Linked DNA regions of Danio rerio. The protein of the gene in region 1 purifies or fractionates together with the protein of each later gene. This does not show direct contact. Links are inferred from orthologs where the notes say so. Each region holds a gene or a part of one and is shown in the gene's direction. Other genes may lie near its edges.

Region 1 (3,500 bases):
AACCACTGACTTCTGTAGTTGGAAGAACAAATACTATGGAAGTCATGGTTACAGATTTCCAACAATTATCAAAATGTCATTCTTTGTTTTCACCAGTAAAAAATGTAAATTATAAAGGTTTTAAACTAGTAAAGAGCGAGTAAAAGATGAAAAATATTTGGGTGAACTATCCCTTTTAGTAAAAATGGTTTGGCAGCCAAGTTAAAGGGTTATGAAACCCCCCTCATATATATATATATATATATATATATATATATATATATATATATATATATATATATATATATATATATATATGTATATGTATATATATATATATATATATATATATATATATATATATATATATATATGTATATGTATATATATGTATATATATATATATATATATATATATATATATATATATACATACATACACACACACACATACACACACACACACACACATATATATATATATATATATATATATATATATAGTTATCATTTAAATGTGTCTCTTCTGTAAATGATGATAAAAATATGTGAAAAAAACACATTTGTCTTTTTTTATATCCTCTGCAGACATGCGTCGGGATGTCCAAGAAATCTTTCGAATGACCCCTCATGAGAAGCAGGTCATGATGTTCAGTGCCACCCTGAGCAAAGAGATCCGTCCTGTCTGCAGAAAGTTCATGCAAGATGTAATTACGCCTCTCCTACTACTACCATGTCAGCAGCTCCTTCCCTTCACAAGGCCACATCATAAACACCTGAAAGAGATCCATTTACGACCTCCCTGAGACATCCTAGCGCTAAATGCCCCTCTCTCCTGCCTGTTTGATAATCACAGACTGTTAACTAATAGAGGCACAGCGAAAAAAGATGTTAAGTCCTTAATCCCCGCCTCAGCTGGCAGCGCTGTGTCGGCATTTGGCACACAGTCACCCCCGGTCCGTTTGGCCAAAAGATAATGCACCATCCATCAGCCTCAGCCCGATTGAAAATTTAAATAGGTCCTTTAACAACATTTCTTAAAGTCATGAAGAGTCTATCCAATATATCTTAAAGAGGACGTCTTTAAAGTAACAAAGTAATGCTCCCCTAATCCCTAAACACTTCAGTTCAGGGCTGTAAATTCATTTTAAAAACATTTAGTCCCAAGTGAACACAATCCTTCACATTTGAATATTACTTCACACTCAGTTTCCATTCATCAAGATAAATTGCTTTAGTTCCTGCTCAACTGTAATTCCAGCCTGGAGATTTGTCCCCAAATAACCTTTAATTAAGAACACAAGCACTTGTTGAAGATTTGTTGCAAACTGCCAGAGACTCTCAAGGGGGCACAAAACTAAAACCGATAAAGTATCGGCCCGACAAAGCAAGCCAGCTGCTAAAAACCACATTAGATTCACGACAACCTGGCACTCCAGGGCCTGCAGTTAATTACTCTTTAACAAAGCACAATGAAATCAACTAAGGGAATAAAAAAGATTCAATCATTGGCGGCGTAAATCAGCTCAGGTGGGCTCGCCAATGATAAAGCCGCTCTTCATCAATCTAGCTGACAGTCAGTGATTAGCACAGTTCCTCATGTGCCCCCAAGAACAACAAAGACAAACCGTCTGTCATGAAGTTAAAATCAAAGCAGTAAAACTGGCCTGAAGCGGAGAAGAAAGAATGCGCGGGTGTGAGGGACGAGAGAAGAGAGAGAAAGGGAGGATTAAGCTGCGGAAGACTGGAGCGAGAGGGATGAGATTGTAAAGAAACTTCATAGAGTAGAGAGGAGACATGCGCGGGTGTAGATAGAGACGCTCCTGGTGGCAACTGAAAACATCAATACAACTAAATAGTGAAGCACAACTTTAAGCAACTATACAAAATATCGAATGACCTGCTAGGGGACCTAAGGGGGCACATGGGTTTACTAAATAGTCATACCCTTATGATTAGTCAAAACTTTGCATTCAAACACCCTTTAGTGCTCGTTTAGTCAGAATACAAAGCACCACCTAGGTTGACCTCAATATAAAAAAATGAGCTTTATATGGGACAATTGATAACTGTTTGATTGATAGGCTGAGAAGATAGAGTTGACTAAACAAACAAGGTAAGTGCATACATGCATTTAGCAGTGCTGTGGACCGAGTTAACATCTTAAATGAGATCCTCATAAGACTGGATACCAAACTTTATTATAGGGTGTTCTTTATATTTTGAATTAAGCTATCTATTGAATAAATTTGGCTTACAAATTGATCTGTTTTTTGAACGTCCCACTGCTAAATGTTACACAGTGTTGCAGAAATGTGTGTGAGGTGGCGAGTGAGTGTTCAAAGTCAACATGAAATGGCAGTTATAATTCACTTGTGGGATGGGACTTGGTTGTAAAAATTGAGCAACTGAAATAGATGTTTGACATGGTGGCAAAATTTCTGTTTTTGTTTTTTAACATTGTTAAAGTTACAGCTGTAACTGATAATATGTTATTATGCCAAGTACGGTTACATTTCTAGAAAGGCAGTAGACTTAAATAAAGTTTGTTAGCTAATTAACTCGAGGCTAACGTTTTGCAGTAGATTGATTAAAATAGTTGGATCATGAATGCATATTAAATATATTAAGGCAGTGTTTCCCAACCATGTTCCTGGAGGGCCACCAGTACTGCATATTTTCCATGTCTTTTTAACCAAAAACACCCGATTCAGATCATCAGCTCATTAGCGGAGACTGAGACCCTGTTTACACTAATGTGTTTTAGTTTTAAAACGCATGAGTTGTGCTACAGTTGAGCCTTCCGTCCACGCTATGGAGTTTTCGAGCGCCAAAAACGGAGCAATTCAGAAACGCTGAAGAAGCTTTTTTAGTTTTAAAATTCTGCTGCTTTGTGTCAGTGTGGATGGGGGAAAACGGAGACATCTGAAAACGGAGGCGTGGCTTCAGATGTTCGTCTATTTGATTGGAGTTTTTTTTATATTAAGTGCACAAAGTTCTTGCATTCTTTCCTTGTAAGTTAAGACTTTGTAAGTTTGATATGGAAAACAAACTCCCGAGGACACGTCGATAAATCTTCAAAGGGAACAGTGTACTGAACACCATATAACGTCAGTCACATCACCCCCTCTACAATTTTTCTAAACAATATCTTCACTGTATACATATTTTTAACAAAATGGAGCCTTTAACTGCCTCCTTTCACTTTTATTGAAAAGTATGAAACATCTCTTTTGCTGAATATCAGTTTTAATAATCAATAGTGGCAATCAATAATACAATAAGTTTATACAATATAGAAAATAAAGGCAAGCATGCAGTCAAATGTGCAGAATTAGTTTACTTGACAGTTTACGTATAAATATATAATATACAAAAATATCTTTGTGCTCAGTCAAAACTCTTTACCTGAGAACAAATTATAGATTCAAAAGACAATTGAGTCGTTAGATAGAGACATCACATTTGTTGTTTGTTGTTGGTAAAATATAACAACAATTGTGAGATGAGATCCAGCAGTA
Region 2 (4,244 bases), on another chromosome or scaffold:
AGCTCTGAAAAAAGAGGTGAGTCTCTTCCACCATCTCTTCTTCACAGTCTGTAAGAACTGACAAAAAATATGTTAACCATATTGTTCTGTTTATGTAAAATGGGATGGGGGGGGGGGGGGGGGGGGTTGCTGGGCTTAGATGTATCTTTAAACTAATAATCCATGAGTTTTGGGGTGGCGAAGTGACGCAGCGGTTAGAGCTGTTGCTTCACAGCTAAAAGGTTGCTGGTTCGAGTGCCTGCTGGGTCAGTTGGCATTTCTGTGTGGAGTTTGCATGTTCTCCTATGTTCGCGTAGGTTTTCTCTGGGTTTTCCCCACAGGTTCAAAGACATGGGCTATAGATGAATCGGGTAAGCTTAATTGTCCGTAGTGTATGTGTGTGAATAAGTGTGTATGGATGTTTCCCAGGGATAGGTCTGCTGTGGCGACCACTGATTAATAAAGGGACTTAGGTGAAAAGTGAATGAATTAATGAATCCATGAGTTTTTTAAATAGACTGCCCATCTTAGCAAAACATTATTTGAAATATGTTTAATTATATCAATGTATTGGTAGTTAATGCTATCTAAATGTACAAAAAATATAGCCTACATGTTAATGGTTGTTAACAAAATGTGAAATATTATCTACTGCTCTTGCATTCAGCCCACAAATATTGCTGGTGCTGCACAACCAGAGGCTGCAGTTTCAGAATTACATTTCTAGGATCAAATATGGCCTTACCCCACCCCTATGCCTTAACCCAACCACCGCCTACTGGACGGATCAGGAAGAACAATTTCTAAAAATTCTAAGGGTGCTTGAATTGCTGTCCTAGAAATGCGTTTCAGTCTCTCTGGTTTACCAGGAACTATTTTGGCTGCTCTTCTGTGCCCAGCTATTTAGATTTAGAGTTAGCCGAAGCCTGCAGTCACTAGTAGCTACTGCTCTTTTGATTTGAGACACTCTTTAAAAAGTTGCTAAATGAAGCCAAATGAATGTTAAAAATAGCTAAATTTGTTGCTGGGTGCTTTTAGGGAAACAAGCTAGGGTATTATGACAAGTTGCTAAAAAGTTAGCAACCAGGGTTTTACAGGGTTTTGTCAATCAGACTTTCAGTTAAATAGTCTTGACCTAATGTTTCATGTAGCCAAATGTCTATGTGCTAAAAAAAATAAGAATAAGTTAGCAAATCTTACCTTTTGTTTGTTTTGATCAGAATCATGAGGATCTTTCACAGTCACTATAATGCTAAGAAAATAAGGCATATACATCAAGCTACTAAAATTTTCATTGCTATTCGTCAAGTTACTAAATGGGAGCCTGATAAAAATGTGTGATTTTTTTAATACTTCAGTCAAAATTCATTACCTGTGTATGTTTTTGTAGACCACGGTAAATTTCTGCGTTTCTATGTATCGGCCACTAGAGGACGCCGCACGATTCCATCATTCTGCTGCACTCACTGCTCTGCTAGTGTGCGGCGATGGTGGATCCATGACGCCTGCAAACAATTCCTGATTTTGGGCTTCGGCAACTGTGAGTCACTATTTCCCTGTCTGAATCTTTGGTCAAACATTTAATCTTCTGCGGTGGTTACTGTAGTCCGTAGCAACAGCATTTATGTCGTGTTTATAAATGGATAGATTTGTATGTTCATTCTCAATGCATGACTCAACAGTTTTAACAGCATAATTATTTCTCAAATATATCCTTGCTGATCCCAGGCAGTTCCCGTCTCTAGTCCTGAATTAGTCATTTTGGCATGCCTTAAATTATATACAATTTTGTAAAAAAAAAAAAAAAAAGAATAAAATTTGAAGGCTATACTCACAGTATTCTCAATCACATTAAGTATTCTATAAAAATTACATGCATGCCATGCTGCTGCTAATTATTAAATGTTGTTAGTTTTTTATAAAAAATATTCGTTTTTTTACCGCTACAATTACAGTTGAGGTTATAGTATTAAAAAGTAAAATGTAGCTTTTATTTGATATTTTTTTTAGTTTTCATTTTTTAAGTGTGGGCCTATTTGTTCTTTTGTATTTTTTTACTAATTTATTTTTAAGTTTTAGTAGTTTTAGTATTTAAAGTTCATTTAATACATATATTTTATTTAATAAAATATTTTATTGAAGTTTTTTTTATTTTCATTTTTATTAGTTGAAAGTTATTATATTTTATATATGAGCAATAGCAATTTTACACGAGTAGCAGTGTGATATGGCTGTATATCAGCACTGGTGGGAGCCGTGCGTAAACGTGTTTGCATGCTTTAGTGTTCCACTAGTGACAATAAACAGTCATATCGCACTGTTACTCGTGTGATAATGCGTTTATACAACAGTTTGACGGCATTATTGTGTTTAAAAAAGAAAATCAAACAGAGTCTAAAAATTCTTTTGAATGAGGAACTACTTTCTTTTACCATTCATTCACATCTGAAGCTGATGTCAAAACAGCAAAAACCATTGCTACTTCACCAACGTCACTTTAGAGCTAGTATTAGAATGATTCTCTAGAGTAATATCTAAAGTCAGGGGCCTGCAGGATTTTATTCAAAAGAACGCACATATCCAGCACCACCCTGCCCCATCATCCCTTATTCATATTTCAACCTGAAAAGCACTGGTGCTTGCTGTCAAACGCTATAGGCCTATTATTTAAGGGCATTTGTTACGAAACTGATAGGATCAAACTTATGTTTCCTGTTTATATATATATATATATATATATATATATATATATATATATATATATATATATATATATATATATATATATATATATATATATATATAATATATATATATATATATAAATATGTATATGATTTGCTTAAACACTCCCTCAACTGAACTTGCCGCGAGTGAGATTGAGAAAATGAAAGCACGTCCTTGTATCCTAATTTGAATACATTTTTTATTTGTTGGTTATCTACTAGATAAACAACAATAATAAATATTATCTGAGTGCTACAAAACCAGTTCACTATATGCTTCAGCGCCAAAACGCAAACTGATTTGTTAAATAAAATAATAATCTAGCCTAAATAAAATGAAAGTGAAATATTCACCGTTTCAGAGAAACCTATATTAAACTGTTTTCAGTATTATTTACAAAACCATCCATTGTGCCGGTCAATTTTAATTTAATTAGTTTAATCAAGCAGGTGATTTAAATAAGCAGGACAGGTATTTACAAGGCTATTCGCAGCAGCACTGAGGTGTTTCCAGATTGCCTCGGAAGAACAAACTCAGTTGGAAGGGTAAGAGAACTTAGAAACTCGTGAGAATGGGGATGTCTAAAGCCAAAAGATTTCTTTACCCATGTGCCATGCAAATAATATATATATATATATATATATATATATATATATATATATATATATATATATATATATATATATATATATATAGTATTTATATTCGTAGTTTATATTGTAATTACTTCTGTAAAATAAGTTCTTTTTAAATGTCTGGGTTAAAAAATAACATCTTTTATTATATATATCGGTTTTAGTAATTTTTGTACTTTAGCTACTTATTTTATTGCCGTTTTATTTACTATTATTTTATAATTTTTTTTGTACTTTGTATTTTTTTGTTTTAATCTGCCATGTTTACTGTAGTACATATAGCAGTGGCATTTTAGGGATGTTCATAGAGAAAGACAGAACGATTTGTATGTTCATTCCCAATGCATGACTCAACAGTTTTAACAGCATAGCATTTTACTCAAATAAATACAGTGATTTCAGGCTGTACTCATTTGTAGTCTTAAATTAATCACTGGGAATGATTTTAAGTGTTATATTAACAGTTAAATGCCATTACATTTGAAGTAATGTGAAAATGATTTAAACACTGTAATTCGGAGGTGTCACGAAATTCCTTTCTGGTTGGAACCTGTCATGTCTTGTAATTTGACACATACTGTATGTCCTAACATCTCCACCTTTCGACCACCAGTCTAGAGCACAAATCCACCTCATCTGCCTCAGCAAAATTTCCCAAATTCTCCCCAAAAAAATCTGCAGGTTGTTCCCCGAAATCACTGCACACAATGAACTTCTGATCGTGACTCCTGATTGTGACATAATCTGCTTTTAGTTGTCACAGATGTCAGAAATGCCACTCGGGTGGAGAGACATTTGCTCTAGGGAATCACATTGTTATGTGGGAATGCAGTGGTTGTGTGAGGTAATGCGACGAGAGAATGAGAAGAGAAAGTACAGAACTGATAGTGTTACTCGTCTAGC
Region 3 (4,274 bases), on another chromosome or scaffold:
ATACACTACGGACAATTTATCTTACCTAATTCACCTGTACCACATGTGTTTGAACTGTGGGGGAAACTAGAACATACAAACTCCACTCAAAAACGGCAACTGACCCAGCCGAGGCTCGAACCAGCAACCTTCTTGCTGTGAGGCGACAGCACTACCTACTGCGCCACTGTGTCGCCTAAATAAAATAGTAATAAAATAAAAATAATAAAATATAAAATAAACTTATGATAATAAAAAATAAAATACATTAATAATAACAAAATAAAATAATTAAAAATAAAATATTAAAATAAAATAAAAATAAAGTAATATAAAAATATGTTTTCAGTTATATAATATATTAATATAATATAAAATAATAGCGTTTTCAGTTCAAAATATAAACAAAATTATGTTTTACTGAAACTAAAGAGTTTCAGGAACAAGAATATAATGCTAAAAATAAAATAATAATAATAATAAAATAAAAATTATAAAATAAAATAAAAATCAAATACAAAATAATAAAATATAAAATAAATTATTTTAATTTACATTATGTATGTCGCCTAGTATACATAGTATTATGTAATTTGTTTATATTGCTAGTTGCTGTATTAGAAGACGTACACAGCAGATTAATTAAAGTACCCTACTATAGTTCAAAAACACTACTATACATAATTATAGATTTTTAAAGGATAAAGATTTCAATAAACATTTATTTTTATGTGTGCTGAGATGTGTTATTCGTTCAGATTTGCCTGATTTTAGTTTGATTTTTCATGCGTTGAATTGACTAAGTGTCAATGTGTTTCTGAAGTTCATAGCTAGCTGAGAAAGCAGCAATATCATCAATCAGTCCTTTAAAATCAATGGTTTAATACACATGCCTGTTATTATTCAAAAGCTGCATCAAGCATTGTATGATTTTCAGTCAAATGATATGCAAATCAATGAGATAGACGCACAGATAGAGATTGATATTATCTGTGACGGGACAATATTGAAATATCGTGTAATAATAGTAGGCTAAAATAAACTATCCGTACATAAATATTGAAATGATCCAATAAACTCTGTAAATTGTGAAATGCCTGTCAACACTGACACCCATTATGTATTTATTTATTTAAAAGAAGGAGAGAAAGTTCCTGATTCCAGACATTCCTCCATTCCTGCGCGTGTGTGTGTGCGTGTAAACACGGTCCGGCGACTTATATGGTCACAAAAGCCCAAAGTCGCGCACATACCTCAGACATTAAGCACACATACGGGGCCCTGCGGCCCAACTATTTCAAGTTCACCCTGTGACGCGGACTTTTACCCGCTCTGGCACGCCCACACGCCGCCTGTCATTGGCCGAAGCCTTCGGGAATGCAGAGCGAGCGGACTGTGATTGGCGGAGATTCAGGAAAGGGGCGGTTACGTGCCGCAGACTCCGCCCCACCGGGACCGCACCCCGAACCATTACAGCAGGACGGAGTTCAACTACGAGTGGAAGAGGGAGGGAAGAGAAAGAAAGGAAGAAAAAAAGAGAGCCGAGTGAAGAGAGCCAACTTGTGCGCAGCTTCAGTGGATTGAAAAGGGAAGTCTGGAGCACGCGACACGGATCCACACTGAGCCTCTGGAGTTTCTGACAACCATCCCCCGAACTCCGAGCGTCTGCATCTGATTAGCAGGTAAAGCACCGGGTGGACGGTTCCGTTTCCTCCGCAGATCCATTCAGTCGCCGCGCGGAGAAACAGGAAGCGCAGCTAGTGTGAGCAGCGACCTGGAGTGACGCGGCCTGGTTTTGCTGCACTTGCAAACTTGTTGTGGTGAAATCGTTACGGTTGATCGATATTTCTTGCGAAGATAACCTGTGACGCGTCCGATCGGCACGGACAGCCGCGCGGTGAGTTTCAGGAAGTGCTCGAGCGCAGAAACACCGGCTCGCGCGGGCCTCAACGGGCACGCGGAAACCCGTTAATTTTCACAGAAAATGCTGTTTGCGCGAAAGTAGGGTGCAGTGCGACTGCAAACGGAGCATGATGTCATTGAGCGCTAGCGAGTGACGTTTCACGGGCGCTCATTACGTCATCGCTCGCGTTAAAACTGGGCCAAGCGGCGCGTTTTCAGTTATCCGCCCGATTTTAAGGACGAATCTGTATTAGCGGTTTGTTAACACAGCAGGAAAGTAAACTTGGACGCAAATAAACGTAGTTTCTGACTCTTCTAGAGAGTTCTAGTTAGTTACAGACAGATGGAAATAGGTTACGCGCGCTCCCAAAGTTCGATGAGGGTGTGATCGCGCTGCGTGCTCCCGCAGACATTGGTGCGCGCTTTCTTCAACCGGACAAATTTCATTTGTGTGCAAGAAACTTGGTTAATATTTGAAAGGAAGAGTGCACACGGTCATTCGCGGGGGCGCGCTGCGCGAGCTCGTCCTTCTGGTGTGTGGCCTTGTTGCATTTCTGTGTATTTTGATATACGTGTTGTTGGCTGCTTTCTGAATATGTGTCCAGCAATTAGCATATTTCATTTCAGAAACCCTCTAATGCTTTATTGGTTCTTGATTGTTATGAACAGGATGTTGATGAATCTCTGAAGTGAGTGATTGGCAGCTACTTTAGCTTTATGCTCAGATTTAGTTGTGATTTTGTCGGGTGTGTCTTATAACCACACAAATCTGTGTGTAATCCATGTGAGCTCTCAGATTCATGCTGATGTGAGTGTGTACTGCATTTATCTTTGTCATCATTCTGTTTGCTGCTAGTAATAGTGTTATAAGTGTGTGTGTGTGTGTGTGTGTGTGTGTGTGTGTGTTATTCAGTGCCATAGAGCAAATAATATTATTGAAATGAACACCAGTTTCACTTTCTTAGAAGACGTCTGCAGTACACACCTGACCTGTGTGTGTGTGTGTGTGTGTGTGTGTGTGTGTGTGTGTGTGACCTGGTTTTCTTTGAGCGAGTATGTCTAGGACGTTGTGACCCAGTAAAAGCACATGCTGGTCTCATTCTGGATTTTGTTGTAGCTTCTCTTCATTGGTTAAGGAAACGCATAAGACTCCCTCAATCCCTGCGGCATTTATACTGCGCACAGAGCTGCTGCGTCCAAGTCCTGTCCAAAAAATCATATTTACGAGTCGAACTCAACCACAACATCGTAATTGTGGGGAACAGTTTTTCGAGGCCTAAAGCTTCTGAGTTCAATACAGACTCAGTGGATATATTTATTTGGTCAACAGTTGACTGTAATTTAGTTGCAGCTTTTAAAATTGCTTTTTAGTGCACAATAAAAGTTGCATATGATGTAGTGGAAGATGTAGTAATTCAATGTATACATGCAGAGATTAAATAAATGCTTAAAAGAGCAAATGCACTATGCTATATCCATCATTATATAGAGATTGCTTAAATAAGTGTAAAATGGTACTTTGCCAGCTTGCTCTTGGTTTGAGTGATTTGAACAAATCTGACAGGGTAATTATGCCTTGTCAACTCCTAATGATGAACAAGAGGACTTTAGCTAATGTGTTTGTGTGCGTGGAATTTGTACAGCTATTGTTTTCCAAGTCGTGCATTAAAAGGTGTGAGCATGACCACTCTTTTATAACTTAGTATGGTCCATTATTTGTCTGATATCAAATTAAACATGAACATGAAGTCAGCACCTATAGCCTAGTGCACTGATCATCAACTCTCAGTAATGATTAAGGGTGCTTTCACACCTACACTTTTGTTTCGGAACGTATCTCGTTTGCCCAGTTAGCGCGGTTCGATTGGCATATGTGAACAGGGCAATCGCGCTCTGTCCCGCGCCAAAGTAATCGCTCCGAGATCGCTTGAATGAGGTGGTCTCGGCTCGATTGAAACGAACCCTGGAGCGGTTCGATTGCAGTGAGAAAGCGATCTGATCCGAGCGCGGTTATATCACAGTGTTTTATGGATATGTAATAGGCTTACGGCTATATGAAGAGAGAATTATGAGTAAGGCGGGAAGTTTCGTGAGTCTCCGGATGCCCGCAAACGAGTGATGATCTCCCGGTAATCTCGTGTCTCTCTCCCAGTCCTCAAATAGGCATCATCGCGCACCCTTCTCACCCCTCCCCACCGCGTCTATCCTCAGACACGTCACGCGCGCGCACCCTGTCAATCACCACCAAACCACCACCTCTCCTGACAGCTGAGCGGGACGCTGCAAAATAAACCCTGACACTCTGACCAATGTAAGGAGAGTTTACTCGCACGTGACTTGTTTTAGCTCTTTTGGTCCGATTAGAAACTTTGCAGTGTGAAAGCGAACCGCAC
Region 4 (4,271 bases), on another chromosome or scaffold:
TCTCTCTAAATGTAAAGTGGCAGAAAATTCTGAAAGCCAGGATTTAAGGATTTAAAGTGGTTTTGATGCCTTTTTCATAAACAAAGAATAATGTTTTTTAGCTATATATCACCATTCTATATTGGACAGCTTTTTTAATTTGATGACTGAACCTACAAATTGAGTCAGATAAACCTAAACAGTGATTGCTGGATCAGGGGCAAGGTCATAAGAACAAGCCCCAGAGTAGAATCTGAACATTTTGCTCCAAATCTCAAAAGGTTTTGGCCATGACCAAAAAATATGTCCTATGAAGCCTTCAGCTTCACATTTATTACATTTACAGGAGATAGAGGACTAGAATTTATTAAGCTTAACCCTATAGAATAATGAAGCCAATGCACACTTTTATATTGGATTAGGTGTCTTGAGTTAATAGAACATGTCAAGAGTTTAGATGCAAAAAACATCTGAAATTTCCATAGAAAATTTACTTTTTTCTCAGCATCCTTTGTTTATGTTGAGATATTTTACTTTAAAGCCCAGGAAAAGGACTTAATCTTTGCCATTTAAGTGATATGAATACACATAAAAAATACTCCTTTTAGGGAAATGTTTCAAAAGGCATTTAGAGGTTTTTGCATCTTCACACTCTTATGTATTTATTATGACCTTGATAGACTTTTTCCAGTCCCCATTGGTAATTATAATCTGTAAATCTTTCAAGAATCTTTCAAATACAAAGTAGATATGTCAAACTGATTATTACAAACGGCTATAAAATGGGAAATCAAAATAGAGGCATCAGGAGAGGCAGAAATTAATTTATATACATCATGTTCATCTGCTCATCAAGTGGCCAAATTCTGGCTTTCTGAGGAAAGTGAAATGAGATGGTGAGTTTTTTTTTTCTGCTACACTTTTTAGTTTAAAACAAGTTTGACCATATATTTTTAAAATGATGGATGATAAAAAATTTGTATTTAAAAATAAGTATGTTTTTATTTTTCTTTATTAATTTTTTATTTGAATAAAACTCATAGCATTATTTATATAACTGTAGTAAATTAAAGTTTAAATGCAAATTCTTTGTAATAAAGCAGTATAAGCACTCTAGAAAATATTTTTAGTACGTCAAAAAGATTCGGCGAAGATTAGTAATTAAAATGTCACTACAATGCATTATTTAAACCTCATAATTGAATAGAAAATGAGGTGAATAACTGCAGAAAAGGTCCACTTTTTCAGAAAAAAGAGCCACCCTATCTAAAGGACTGTAAAATATCTAATTAAATTCCATGTTTAAAAACAGAACAAAAAATGCCTTAAGTTTTAAACAAAAAAGCCACACAGACAATACAATTTCTAAAAATTGTAAAACTACGTCTATTATCTTAAATCAATATCGATATTTACGGTAGTCTCATACGCGCTCGGCTATAACGTGCTTTACGGTAGATTATATAAAGCTGAGCTGGCCTTGTTCCGCTTCGACTGCTGCCTACAGTGACCGCACCGCGCGTTAACGGACAGTCCGCTCACAACAACCTGCCCTTTCCGTTCATATTTTCCGTTCATAATTGCTCAAATACACAAGTCTGAAGACGACGGTCACAATGAGCGCTATAAACGTGAAGAAGCTGAAAGTGAACGAGCTGAAGGACGAGCTAAAGAAAAGGAGTCTGTCTGATAAAGGGCTGAAGGCGGATCTTATGTCGCGCCTGCAGGCCGCACTAGACGAGGAGGCGCTCTCTGGTACTAACGGCTCCGAGCGTCGGTACGAGGACGGAGGAGACCCCGCCGGCAAAGACCTGGAGGAGGACCCGGTGGGAGAGAGCATGGAGGAGGAAGAAGAGGATGGAGGAAACGCGGAGGCCGAGCATGATGATATTATGGAGGAGGAAGAGGAGGACGCCGGGGTAGAGATGGATAAATCGGATGAAGACGCTCTTCTTAAAGATGATGATGGTGATGATGATGAAGATGAAGAGATGGAGAAATTCGATGAGGATGATGTGGCTCTTGACAAGGGTGAGATTATACGATGAAGATCGAGTAATTCATAGTTACTTTGTGTATAATTGGGCTAAAATAATTCATACTGTCAGCAGAACGCGTATACTGGGGTTTGTTATGGGCTCATTGCTGCTGTCCCATTTGTTTCTCCTTGAGTTACTGCTACAGTTTCAGGTTATATGATTTACAGCAATAGGCTTTACTTTGCTAAGTATGTAAGTATTTTATTTTATTCTAATCTAATATAGCTAAATGTTATACATAATTATATTAATTATAATAACATGCATAATATAATACAATGTATTTCTTTTTATTTCAAATATTTATTTCTAATAAAATATAAACTTATATTTTTACGTAATTTAATTATTTTCTTATTCCTATTTCCTTTATTTAGTGTTTTATAATTTTATTGATTATCCAATAGTTTTTCAATATATATATTTTTATGGTGAATGCAACATCTTCTTTACATTGTGCTACATATGTCAAACCTTAATGTAATACATATTTCATTAACCTAATTAAAGTATGAGAAATATCTGCAAATTAAATGCAAGAAATAATGAAAAAAATCCATTGTTATTTTTTTTTATTAAAAATGTACATTTTGATTTATTCATTTTATTTAATTGATCCCTTATAATGTCTTTGCACCAGTACACAGTTGAAGTCATAATTATTAGCTCCCCTGTTTATTTTTTCCCCAATTTCTTTTTAACGGAAAAGAAGCAGATTTTTTCAAAACATTTCTAACCATAATAGTTTTAATAACTCATTTGTAATAACTGATTTATTTTATTATTGTCATGATGACAGTAAATAATATTTTACTTAAGAATTTTCAAGATACTAGTATTCAGCTTAAAATGATATTCAAAGGCTTAACTAGATTAATTATTAACTAGGCAGGTAAGGGTTATTAGGCAAGTTATTGTATAATGATGGTTTGTTCTGTAGACTATTGGAAAATATGTTGCTTAAAGGGGCTAAAAACTCAAACACTATATATTTCATGTTTATTGACTACATGTTTTTAGTGGAAGTTAAACTTTTTCAGGTCCATAGATGCCCTACAGTATTGAGGAGCACCTCATGGTATTCTTTGTTGTCATTTGGCAGATGCTTCTACCCCCTTTGTGCTAAAGGGGGGTTAGTGGCTTTAGCCTACATCTGTGACCATCAAACAGGCCTTATGATGCTATTTTAATTTATTATTTAATTTAAAATAATGCTTTAATTTTCAAAAAAATGTATATTATTTTCCACTTTCTCTGCATTGCTGCAGCTCTGATTGAGTTTTGGTTTCAACCAAGCCCCTTTCTCTGGATAGCCAATATCTCTGATTGGCCATCTGATTCAGTCAGTGCTCTGTGACACCTCATTCATTTGTATACTATAGTCATGAACATTAGAAAAGCATTTTAAAGCATCATATGGCCTTGTCAAGTCTCGCCACTCTTTTAATTATTGTCTTAAGACATTAAAGTCATGTAGGACAACAAATCAACGTAGTGACATACTGTTGAGTGGTATCGTCATTTCATTTGCGATACGAGTACAAGTATTTTAACAAAGCATTGACCCGATACTGGTTTCAGTATCGGTGCATCGCTAATTTTTATGTCACAACATTTGCAGTTCTTCAAGATGCATGCAATTTGAATATGTAAATGTGTGTTACTCAGCTCAAAATTGCACAGTTTGCAGTTGTCTTGGCATCAACCTTCTGTCTGTACTCATACAATCCCGCAGTGTACAATACCCGCACTGTCTGACGTCGCTCCTTGAGCATAAATTTTCTTTTAAAGCACTGCTCATTGCAATTCATGCATACCCTAAACAAGAGTATAAATCCTCCAGTAATTCTGTGGACCATCATGTTACATCATGCCTGGTCCAGCAGGGAGGTACTCTTCCTTACGCTTTATTGTTTGTTTTCCAAAGGGGATGCGGACAAAGACAAGAAAGATGAACAGAAGAATAAGAAGGGTGTAAAGAGACGCCGAGATGAACATGGAAGGGCCTACTTTGAATTTATTGAAGAAAGAAAATACAGCCGGTAAGAATTGTGCAGTCGGGCTGCTGGTACTCCTGAGGTTCCGCTGCACCTGAAAGATTTATGAGCAGTTCTGGCAGTAAAGAGCCAGATCTGACATCAGTGCAAAGAAACACACATTTTTACTGACCATTTGAAATAATTTTGAGCTTATAATAATATTAAGGGCATCTCTTTCACCTCAGTGCTCGGGCTGTTAAAGAATGAAATCAAT
Region 5 (3,976 bases), on another chromosome or scaffold:
TCTTGTAGTTCTAGATTGTTCAAACAATACTATGTTCATTATGTAGGGCGTGTTTTCAAAGTATGTAGCCTACTCAAATACTCAAGAAAGTGTTTGATTTTGAATGCAGTTTGTGCATTGTAAAAAATAAATAAATGACACGTTGGCTGTTCAATTTGTCTTCTGGTGAATCAACATTGGATGAATGTGTTTATGTGCATGATAAAGTTTTTAAAATAGTTGTATTTTGTTTTATTATCACTCATTTAAGGTTTTGGACGTTTTTGTATTAAGTTCAAAGCATTGTCCTATAAATATATTCCTATTTTTCTTCATTGAAAAAAATAATAATTTGGGGGTAATTTTTTTTAATTTTGATGGTTGAATTGATAATTGTATAAGTTAAAACTATAATGGTCCCTGAGGGTATGAGTAAAGCATGCAAATTGTAAAACACTAAATTGTTTTAAGATAAATTTTAACTAATTTAAAGGCAATAACATTACTTTTATTTATTTATTTATTTATTTATTTTTTACAATTTAACATAAAAAAAAATTCACAGACATGGGCATATAATCAGAGATCTGCATTGTTTTAGTTAAGAAATTATTTCAGTTATTAGGCTAAAACCAATGGCTAAAACCCATGGAAAATGCTCATCTATAGCTGACCGACATGGTTAAAAGGCTGTTTTTTCACGTCCGTTCACCTCTGTGAAAGGCAAACACCACCATCTGTTGGACATCAAGTGAACAACGAGAATGTTTTAGTTTTTTTTTATTTGGATTACTTACGTTTTATAAAGATTGCACAGTTCATTTAAATTTATAAGAAATAACATGTAGGTGAAACTCAGACTCTTAGCATCTATTAAAGTTAAACACCGTTTAATTTTAAAAATAGCCTATACAAAGCACTCTTTGTAGATTTATCGAGATGATTAATAAATATGGTTTAAGAAGCAAATATAATATTGGCAGTACATGTTCTCAAAGACTATATGTGTGGTTAGTTGAATGTCACCTCTGTGTTTTATAAAGTGGCTATAGTAAACATTTGGCTTTTGAAGCTAAAATGGTGTACAGCGAGACTGGGCGCTGTACTAGTGCTTTAGATTGACAGACGGATCAGCCAATAGCGCTGTCGTTTCTCAGAGATTCAAACCAATCAAAGTCGACGGGCGGGTCATGTTTTAGTCTTGACAAGATGGCGTATGCGGTTGTTTTGCCGCAGGGACACTGAACAATTTATTCAGTTTATCGTGCAAATTCGTTGACGTTGCGGTAGCATTACAGTTAAAAAAGTGTTTTGTTAGGCGCGTGAAGCCAGAGGACATCTAACATGAAAGGTAAAGAGCGGTCGCCGGTGAAAAAACGTTCAAGGGCCTTGGATGATATACGAGACAGGGGAGGAAGCCATCCGACCAGTAAGAAAATGGGGGTTATCTCGAATTCTGGCGGAGGAAGCAACAACGGCAATAGTTCGTCTAAAAGCGACGGGGGCTCTGCACGACGGGGACTGCTTGGAGATAAAAGAGACGGACGGGAATTTGACGGACATGTATCCAGTCGGACTGGTAATAACCACGGTTACACGAGCCCTGTTGCGAGCTCAAGCGGCAAAAATCACGCCTCGAGTCTGTCCTTAGAGGCGGCGCGCACCAACTCGCGCGGGGAGGCGCGCGCACCGCTTCCCACAAACGAAAGTGAGTACAAAACTTTAAAAATCAGCGAGCTTGGCTCGCAGCTGAGTGACGAGGAAATCGAGGACGGCCTCTTTCATGAATTCAAAAAATTTGGTGACGTGAGCGTCAAAATCAGCCGAGTGAACGACGAGAGAATCGCATTCGTCAACTTTAGGAGACCGGATGATGCCAGGGCGGCAAAGCACGCACGAGGCCGGCTGGTGCTCTACGACCGTCCTTTAAAAATCGAGGCAGTTTACTTGAACAGGCGGAGGAGTCGCTCTCCGGTGAAGGAGGATCATTTCTCTGTTGTTGCAGGCCATAGACATTTGCATACTCAGAGGCCGCTCTCTCCAACCGGCCTGGGCTACAGGGACTACCGGTTACAGCAGTTAGCACTGGGTCGGCTTCCTCCTCCCCCACCCCCGCCTCTGCCCAGAGAGCTGGAAAGAGAAAGAGAGTTTGCCTTTTATGAAGCGAGGGCGCGGCCCGCATACATAGCAGAGCGAGCCGCTCCTTTCCGTGAGGAGGACTTTATCTCTCCAGAGGACGACCAGAGAGCCAACCGCACACTGTTTTTGGGTAACTTGGATATTACTGTGACTGAAAACGATTTGAGGAGGGCTTTTGAACGATTTGGGACAATCACTGAGGTGGACATTAAAAGACCCACTCGTGGCCAGAGCAGCACCTATGGCTTCCTTAAATTTGAGAATTTGGACATGGCTCACAGAGCTAAAATTAGCATGTCTGGGAAAGTTGTGGGCCGAAACCCCATAAAAATTGGATATGGTAAAGCCACCCCAACCACAAGACTATGGGTGGGTGGTCTTGGCCCTTGGGTGCCTCTGACTGCATTAGCCCGGGAATTTGACCGCTTTGGAACTATTAGGACTATAGACTACAGAAAAGGGGACACCTGGGCTTATATTCAGTATGAAAGCCTGGACGCTGCTCAGGCAGCCTGCACACACATGCGTGGATTTCCTCTTGGTGGTCCTGACAGGAGGCTGAGGGTGGACTTTGCTGACACAGAGCATCGCTACCAACAACAGTTCTTGCAGCCCCTCCCCCTGCAACATTATGAAATCATGGCTGAGTCTTTCGTTCATCGTGCCACCCCTGAAGCCATCAGGGTCAGAGAACGGACTCCTCCGCCACTGCACTTCAGAGAAAGAGAACTCTATGCTGGGGCTGAGTGGCCAGCACCTACTATTCGTGAACGTGTACGAACTCCTGCATTTGAGCCCCTTGAACACTTAGAGCGTGAACGACGGCGAGAGGCCTGGTCACTGGAGCGAGAGCTGCCAGGCAGAGAAGCTGCACGAAAACGGCGGCTCATGGAGGACGGCAGACATCTGGAGTGTTCGCCTGACAGCAGCAGTGAGTGGGCGGCCCGCCGTCGCAGACCCCCGTCGCTTGAGGGCAGCCCAGGCGGCAGCAGCCGAGACGGACGTTTCAGTGACTCTGAGCGTCCAGCGAGAGCAGACCGGGTGTCCCCAGCACGAGAGAGCCGCAGCAGCCTGGACCGAGTTCCCGGTGAGAAACGCATCAAAAGCAACAGCAACCTCTCTGAGTCCAGCATCGGCGCAAGCCCTGCAGAACGAAAGCGCAAAGCGGGCGATTCAGCTAAAGGTGCATCCAAGAGGGACAGATCCGAAAGCAGCTCCAAAAGCAACCAAGCTTCAAAACAGGACGCAGGGGGGAAGCTGAGCATGGCCTGGAATGGCATGCTGCTCCTCAAGAACAGTAACTTCCCAGCCAGCATGCACCTCCTGGAGGGGGACCTGAGCGTCGCCACCAGCCTTCTCATCGACGGCAGCACGGGTGGAAAAGTCTCTCAGCTGCGCATCACACAACGGCTTCGTCTAGACCAGCCCAAGATCGACGAGGTGTCTCGGCGCATCAAAGTGGCAGGCCCAGGAGGCTACGCAGTTCTACTGGCAGTTCCAGGCAGCTCTGAGGAGACTTCATCATCAGACCCAGCAGCATCCACGCAGAGGCCTCTCCGCAACCTGGTTTCATACCTGAAGCAAAAGCAGGCCGCCGGGGTCATCAGTTTGCCCGTCGGCGGCAGTAGAGATAAGGACAACACTGGCGTCCTGCACGCATTTCCACCATGTGATTTCTCTCAGCAGTTCTTAGATTCTTCTGCGAAAGCTCTTGCCAAAACAGAAGAGGACTTCCTGGTCATGATCGTTGTGCGAGGAGCATCTTAACAGTCATAATACACACTAAAGTATTGTTAAATGCAAGCTTCTCTTAATGTCTCTTAATTGCATGCTCTCTAAAGCAGAAGTGGTACTAGAG

Evidence for each region. Proteins that work in one complex are often made in the same cells at the same time.
Region 2: the proteins of ddx39b (region 1) and lmna purify together in Homo sapiens (affinity purification with mass spectrometry, with the first as the bait; 4 studies listed by BioGRID). This does not show direct contact. The link is inferred for Danio rerio from reciprocal best matches to the Homo sapiens genes DDX39B and LMNA.
Region 3: the proteins of ddx39b (region 1) and myh9b purify together in Homo sapiens (affinity purification with mass spectrometry, with the first as the bait; 4 studies listed by BioGRID). This does not show direct contact. The link is inferred for Danio rerio from reciprocal best matches to the Homo sapiens genes DDX39B and MYH9.
Region 4: the proteins of ddx39b (region 1) and hnrnpua purify together in Homo sapiens (affinity purification with mass spectrometry, with the first as the bait; 3 studies listed by BioGRID). This does not show direct contact. The link is inferred for Danio rerio from reciprocal best matches to the Homo sapiens genes DDX39B and HNRNPU.
Region 5: the proteins of ddx39b (region 1) and rbm15 purify together in Homo sapiens (affinity purification with mass spectrometry; 3 studies listed by BioGRID and IntAct, with this or other methods). This does not show direct contact. The link is inferred for Danio rerio from reciprocal best matches to the Homo sapiens genes DDX39B and RBM15.

What each region holds. Positions count from the first base shown.
Region 1 is NC_133194.1:29,763,105-29,766,604, forward strand, and holds part of ddx39b (DEAD (Asp-Glu-Ala-Asp) box polypeptide 39B), read left to right. Parts: intron 1-567; coding exon 568-686; exon of another isoform or gene 687-2,628; intron 2,629-3,500. UniProt on the Homo sapiens protein: Involved in nuclear export of spliced and unspliced mRNA. Component of the TREX complex which is thought to couple mRNA transcription, processing and nuclear export, and specifically associates with spliced mRNA and not with unspliced pre-mRNA.
Region 2 is NC_133191.1:33,787,058-33,791,301, reverse strand, and holds the start of lmna (lamin), read left to right. Parts: upstream 1-1,444; 5' UTR 1,445-1,519; exon of another isoform or gene 1,520-1,852; intron 1,853-4,244.
Region 3 is NC_133178.1:3,460,319-3,464,592, reverse strand, and holds the start of myh9b (myosin-9), read left to right. Parts: upstream 1-1,474; 5' UTR 1,475-1,876; exon of another isoform or gene 1,877-3,694; intron 3,695-4,274. UniProt on the Homo sapiens protein: Cellular myosin that appears to play a role in cytokinesis, cell shape, and specialized functions such as secretion and capping. Required for cortical actin clearance prior to oocyte exocytosis. Promotes cell motility in conjunction with S100A4.
Region 4 is NC_133192.1:12,690,154-12,694,424, reverse strand, and holds the start of hnrnpua (heterogeneous nuclear ribonucleoprotein U), read left to right. Parts: upstream 1-1,471; 5' UTR 1,472-1,595; coding exon 1,596-2,010; intron 2,011-3,945; coding exon 3,946-4,060; intron 4,061-4,271. UniProt on the Homo sapiens protein: DNA- and RNA-binding protein involved in several cellular processes such as nuclear chromatin organization, telomere-length regulation, transcription, mRNA alternative splicing and stability, Xist-mediated transcriptional silencing and mitotic cell progression.
Region 5 is NC_133183.1:26,684,728-26,688,703, reverse strand, and holds the start of rbm15 (RNA-binding protein 15), read left to right. Parts: upstream 1-1,176; 5' UTR 1,177-1,323; coding exon 1,324-3,885; 3' UTR 3,886-3,976. UniProt on the Homo sapiens protein: RNA-binding protein that acts as a key regulator of N6-methyladenosine (m6A) methylation of RNAs, thereby regulating different processes, such as hematopoietic cell homeostasis, alternative splicing of mRNAs and X chromosome inactivation mediated by Xist RNA.